2 linked regions of the Schizosaccharomyces pombe genome follow. The gene in region 1 interacts genetically with each later gene. Each region holds a gene or a part of one and is shown in the gene's direction. Other genes may lie near its edges. The genes, in order: apq12 and cdc31.

Evidence for each region.
Region 2: of apq12 (region 1) and cdc31, a mutation in one rescues a mutant of the other (synthetic rescue), as found in Schizosaccharomyces pombe (one study listed by BioGRID).

Annotation. Positions count from the first base shown.
Region 1 is NC_003423.3:446,992-449,900, forward strand, and holds apq12 (nuclear membrane organization protein Apq12), read left to right. Parts: upstream 1-1,942; coding exon 1,943-2,290; 3' UTR 2,291-2,407; downstream 2,408-2,909. Other genes in the region: arg12 (argininosuccinate synthase), read right to left, coding at 2,780-2,909. UniProt on the Schizosaccharomyces pombe protein: Involved in the regulation of lipid homeostasis in the endoplasmic reticulum, thereby impacting nuclear pore complex biogenesis and localization, and nucleocytoplasmic mRNA transport.
Region 2 is NC_003421.2:376,354-380,288, forward strand, and holds the start of cdc31 (spindle pole body half bridge protein, centrin Cdc31), read left to right. Parts: upstream 1-1,852; 5' UTR 1,853-1,875; coding exon 1,876-2,170; exon of another isoform or gene 2,171-2,336; coding exon 2,337-2,572; 3' UTR 2,573-2,711; coding exon of another isoform or gene 2,712-3,299; 3' UTR 3,300-3,374; coding exon of another isoform or gene 3,375-3,935. Other genes in the region: coilin Mug174 , read right to left, coding at 1-237, 275-1,529; srp68 (putative signal recognition particle subunit protein), read right to left, coding at 2,712-3,299, 3,375-3,935. UniProt on the Schizosaccharomyces pombe protein: Required for the proper coordination between exit from mitosis and the initiation of septation. Has a role in bipolar spindle formation during spindle pole body (SPB) duplication. Required for the localization of sad1 to the SPB.

The DNA of each region.
Region 1 (2,909 bases):
GTAGGAAAAGTCTAAAATAAACAGTCAAAAGATGACTATTCTAAGCGCAAGAAGCAGCAGATATTTATATACAATCAATCCGGATATCTGCTAACACTAAGCACCCCGGCTACCACCAAACCAAAGTCTGATTTCGGCACGACTACATTGGAATTAAAAAAAATGAATGAAGTTGCAAACCTGGTGTAGTTCGCTATTAGACTTTAAGATTTTGGACCCACAATTGTTAACTGAAATAACGATGCAAATTACGGACAAAGTGTTACAGTAATATTATGCGATTAATAATACAACGGTGTAATATAATGATATTATTATTACTGAACTTACAAAAATCTGATATTCCAATACTTAATAATTTAATAGAACTAAAGAACGAAGTTTCAGTTGGAAATGATTTTGCAGTCTTTTTGTTTTATATAAATTTATATTATATAATAGCAATGCCTACTCTCTGTGAAATGGAATTATAAATGATAATGTAATACAAAATGAATACTATTGTGTAAAGATGTGCAAACATTGTACGAGCTGCTACATAATATTGCATAATAAAGATATTTTTACATGTATATCACTAATAAGAAGTTGGGCATTGAAGAGTATTAGTCTGCTATCTTTGCAAATTGCTTCTAATATGTATATAAATAGCTTGGGAGAAAATTATTATTAATATTTAGTCTTTAGTAAGATCCAACAATTTAATTTATTAGAGCTACTTGTTTCATGCCGTTCTTAAATGTCCAGAAAAAAGATTTATTCATTCCAATAGAATAAATTAATATAATAAACAAGCATTCCCGCTATTCCAGCGTTAATATAATGGGTTTCATATGCATATTCAAAATGTATATAAAGGGTATACTAGCCACATTGTCATGTGCAGCCCTCGCTTAAGTAATAGCTTAAAACAACTGTGGGGTTATTGAAGAAATGAAAATGTTAAAAACGTAAAAGTTGTTTGTTTGTACGGTTGGACCCTCTAAACACTTTTTTCTATTCTGACATTTAATTAATTTTATGATGAAGATTTTTTTTATGTTCAGTAAGTAAAGCGATGCCTTATAACAATATTACAATGGTAATGGTATAAATAAAGATAAAAATTTTATAGCAATTGCAAGAATGAGTACTTTTGAAAACTCGGTTATTGGAGAATCAAGCTGAAGTGGTTGAAGCGAGCTAGTAATAACTCACTTTAAAGCATTTACCAATTGAAGTCTCACAAGCCTTTTGATATTTCGAAAAGGAAGGAATTATGCTAGGCACTCAGCATAAAAAGAACCATTTTATATGATAAAGGGCAAAGGGAAATTAATTTTCTCTCTATAATAGTAAGTATACTGTTGGATATTTATTCCAAAGGAAATATAGGCGGTGAATTCTACTTTTATCTTCTGATCTCTACGCTTTTATTATCAACCGTAAGAGTCTTTCTTTTATAGTAATAACAATCCAGTTAAAAAGGGATAAAAATACTTATCTTCCTTTTTATATATTACTAATCCTAAAAGAGCTTAGAAATAAGCAATTTTTTATTAACTAGTTCTTTATAAAAGCATATTTATAGAGAAAAGCATTTCATGAAATTATGCTATGTACAGCGAAATACGAAAATAAAATACCTCCTTTGACTAGAACTGTAAGCAACAAAGAGTAAACAATAAAAGCTTGTAGTCATTAGCAAATTAGATTTTTTTATCAGTAGTCTCGATATTAGATGAGATATGTTGACATAATCTGTTTGCCAGTTCTTTCTTTAAATGAGTTTTGTTTATAGAACCGTTTATTTCAACTCATCTTCCAATTTTTATTTTAACATATTTTATTAGCAAATGTAATCGTTGGTAAAATTCGCCTACAACGTCAACATTCAGTCAAAAAGCACACCTAACTACTCCCATCTCTATTACTCCCCGTTCATATTTTAACTTTTTAGAAAATGTCTTTGACATCCGTTTTATGGAATTTCGTCGCCAAACTTGCTGTGGACCATGGATTAAATACCAATCCTGATCAAGTCTTTCAAACCGTTGAAAATGTAGGCAAAAGTTTCGAAAAATATGAAACGTCTTTCCTAAAATCATTGTTCAATGGAAATCTAGGATTGAGCTTGCCCTCAGCTATTAATATCTTGACTTTGATTATAGTGTTATACTTCTCTTTGGTCATTGTAAATAAGACTACCAGTATTGCCCTTGCCCTCTTCAAAACACTTGCTGTAATTTCTTTTTTCTTACTAATCGGTTGTCTCTTTGCTTACTGGTTTATCAATAACGGATCTTTTTGAACATTGACTAGCAGCGTTATCTTCTTTGTTTTTTCAGATTACCGAGTACAAAGTGTTATGGATATGCTTTAAAAAATTTTATTTTAGTAATATATTTTTCATCTTTTTTGTTCCTCATTTCATTTATCATTCAAGATGGTTTCGACATTATTCTTGATTTTAGGACTGTATACGAAGAATGGCTAAAGGCCTGTAAAATATTTTTTAAATTAAAAGCATAGTATTGAGTACATTAAACATCTTAACAATTTGCGTTTGCAATATAAAACTTCAATTTCAATTAGTTACAGTTTTCAGAATTTATTTTTTTTTTGCAACAAAAATATTCAATTGACTTATCAGTGATATGAACGGAGTAATTCTATGAAATGTGAATATGAAAAGGAAGCCATCTCAAATAATACTTCTTATTTGCACAGCAGAAATTTGATTATTGCTTGGCTCAAGTACATGGTGAGTATGACATTATTATTGAGAACGACCTGGCATTTACATCCAATGTTTTCCTTCATCAGAGTTACGCAAACGCATAGACTCGATTTGGATGAAACCAGAGGTCCATGTAGGGTCAAATCCACCAAGCTCATCCATAGATGACAATTTCTCGTCATAAAGATGA
Region 2 (3,935 bases), on another chromosome or scaffold:
AATACGAGTCAGGAACATTTGCAACGACGGTAGATTCATTGGCTGAAAAAGTATCATTAGATTCTTGCATCAAACGTTTCAATATTCTTGCTTTCTTACGACGAAGATTCCGAGCTTTTGTAGCTGATGAACCAGATCCGGGAGGCCGAACTGAAATATTATTAACATGGCCATCGAATTCAGCATTTAATTTGCTTTTTTTATTATCATCGGAAACACCCGTATTATCGTCCTCAACTACTAAGTTAGTTGACACCTAAATAATGGGACTTACCACTTGAACGCAAGGTATTGCTCCAAGTATTTTCAGATTCTACACTATCTGATAAAGGGGTTGTAAAATTTTTTCCTTCTTCTGAAGGTTTTTCAGTATTTTCACATCCTCGATGAACTTTGGTGGTTTCACTAGATAATTTGCTAGGAGAGGAAAAGTAGTATTGGCTAGGTTCATCATAATGTAGATAAGATATTTCTTCAACAGTAGGAGGCGTACTTGAAGAAGGGGCGACCTCAGATTCTACTGCTTCATTTTCGGCTTTAAAGGTTCCTTGTGGAAAAGAAAACTCGTTCGCCGTATTTAAAGAAACTGACACCGATACATTATTAGAAGAAATCGTATCTGAAGAAGATTGTCTCGCTGTGTCCGAACTTTCATCCCCTGAAGAAGAATCACTGGTTGACGATAGGTCACTTGAATCTGAAACTGAGCTTGAAGATTCGGAAGAGGATGAGTCAGATTCCGAAGGAGTTGAATTCTTTGATTGAGAAGTCAACAATGAATTGAGCTCTGGTTGCTGTACTATTGAAGCTGAAACGAATTCTTGGTGCAATGATAAATCGGAAGCAGAAATTTGCTTAGCATGTAGAGACTCATATTTGTTTTGTTGAAAATTTGCTTTAAAAATAGTATCATTTTCATTTGAAATTTTCGACTTTTTGGTATTTAAAGCATAATTTTCGGGCATATTAGCGTATTGACTTATAGATGACAAGGGGGCATTTCTCTTTTTAGAAATCCATGAATCATTAGCTTGATAACGAGGTGAGGCACGACCAGCTAAATCAACTTTTTGCATCGTTTCGGGTGATAGCATTTGCTGTTTTTGTGAAGCCTTGCTATTCATGAATTTAGACGACCATTCTCTAATATTTTCTTTAAGTTCATTTGGACTATCTAGTCTTAGTACAAGCACCTCGCAACCTCTGTGTAAGCCTTCAGACCTTGGTAAAGCACGAAGCTCAAGAGTATCTGTCTCTTCTAGGAATAGTCCATACGACATAGAGACAGGTAAAGCGAATCCGTCCTTAGCGAGTTGTAAAAACATTTCATTACCAATGGTGTACCTTTTAATACTTTCATAACCTGTGAAGATAGCGCGTTTATCTTCTAGTCCGGAAAAGTTGAATTTGATGATATTGTAAAGTAAATCAGCCACTAAACTAGATGAGTCTGATAAATCAAGTTGGGACGTATGAATCCATTGTTTTATAGGAACCAAAGGTTCACAACTGCTAACTTTCAGCAGCATATTGACTATATTTTTCTATTAGTTATAACGAGTGTTTCGTTGTGCAGAGGATTTTTTGTGAACACCTACAGGTTATGTGTTTATTTTCATAAAAAGATTATGATTAAAGAACTTAACTGAAAAAAATGCGTCAAAGTAAAAAACCTAGTATGAAGACTTTTTTATTGATTGTGATGGTTTGTTTACAAGTTCTACACGTTGTCAATTTAACATTGTTACCATATTATTCCGTAAAGTAATTAACGATGTGCTACTATTTTGTTAGAATCAATGCGTACAAGAAGTGTCATGTAAATACTCACACACCTGCTGTTATTTAAGACGTTCTGTTTACCACCACATTTACATGTTTGCTAACGCACGGGCTAAAAGGCGTTCAAGGGCATCTTCACCGACTCCTGCAAGGTTGGGAGGATATGCGCCTTTGCGAGTAGAGATTACAGAGGAACAGCGACAAGATATTAATGAAGCTTTTAAGCTGTTTGACTCTGATAAAGATAATGCTATTGATTATCATGAGCTCAGGGCTGCGATGCGTGCTTTAGGGTTTAATGCGGAAAAATCAGAGGTTTTAAAAATTCTACGTGATTTTGATAAAACTGGCAAGGGCTACTTACAAATGGAGGATTTTGTTCGCGTCAGTAAGTGTGCACGTCTTGGCATTGATATATTTTATTAGATGGAAATTTAAAATAGGGAAGACACATACAACTGGCTTGAAAATGAGTTTTTTTTTAAATTTCTTTTTCCACTCTTATATGGCTTGTCATTCTTCTTCTGTTGAACGTGTTTACTAATTAGATATAGTGACGGAAAAAATTGTTGAACGAGATCCATTAGAAGAGATTAAAAGGGCTTTTGAGTTATTTGATGATGACGAGACAGGAAAAATCAGTTTAAGGAATCTTCGAAGAGTTGCAAAAGAGCTTAATGAAAACATCGACGATCAGGAATTGGAAGCCATGATTGAAGAATTCGACCTTGATCAGGATGGAGAAATTAATGAGCAAGAATTTATAGCAATTATGATGGATGAAGCATAATGGAGAACACATGCTAATTTACTTTTTTTTCGTTTACGTCAATTAATAGATAAAGTAGCAATTAGCAGGGACACATGTCTTTCGTTTTAAATTCTTATTTATATATAACAAATCTCTTAAGTTCTTCCAACCTGTTTTTCTATCGTCCAAGCAAACTGCTAAAGAACCCTTTATTTTTCTGTTTAGGCTCTTTCGAAACTGATGTAACAGGTTTTTCCGGTTGTGCTTTCTTTTTGTCAAAAGAGGTCTGCTGACCTAGATATGTAATAGCTAAATCAAAGAATAAAGGCTTTGCTGGAATAGCCCTAATATCAGCGTCTGTAAGATTCCAAGATGGTTCTAATTCTGCAAGCGTTTGATAACTATCAAGTGTTTCAACCAACGACAAGTTTTTAGGTGGTTGATTTATATTTCCCATGGATGCCAAACTTTGTAATAGCAAAATTTTCTTTTTTAGCTCCTTTTCGTCTTTTTTAAGTTCAGGGATTATATCGAATGCTATAAGATGTGGCTTTTCTTCAAAGTTGCGCAATATATCATTCACCTGTTGTAAATACGAGGCAGCTCGTACACACATCGCAAGACTCGCCAGTTTATCCTGTGCCTGGTAAGCATCGGCAATAGCCTGGCAGCGTTTACTCTTAGCCAAAGAAATTTGGGCTTCTAGTTGGGCAGTCATACCAGTATCTCGTGCAATACCGGGCAATTCTTTAGCAATTTCAATGTTCTATAGCAATCTATTAGTATTTGTCCCTCCTTTCTCTTTAAAAATTATTTCTTCTGAATAAAAGCAAAGTCTTACCTTAATAATAGAATCATACAAGCTTTGACGAGATCGAAGCTGAGCTTGTGAAGCAACCAATTCGGAATCATTCTCAACTGCCAAGTCTCTTTGGATACGGAGCAATACTACATTGTAAGCCAAGTAAGTATAACAAATAGAGAGAGTTTGGAATTTTTGCTCGTCTTCAAGGCCTGTGTTATCAAGAACGCTTTTGGTAATTTCTTCTGCTCTAGCCCATGCAGCAAGCAGACGATCTCTTTTAGAGTCTATGGTTCCAGGAGAATTTTTGACATCGTGAATTGCATATAGAGCCAATACGACATCAGGATGCTCTATTTTTACTCTCTGATCTCTCCATTCAATGACTGTGATAGTTTGCAAGGAATCTTGTTCATCTCCGGTCATTTGCAATATTTCAGAATCAACGGAATTTACATGCTGAATTACCTCCTCATCCTTCGGTATACTTGACAACATCAAAATGTCTAATGACTTGGTCTGGTTTTGCAAGCCAGTTCTTTGAGCAACGTATCGTAAATTGGAATCAATTTGATTTTGGAGTTCTCCAAGTACACTCTT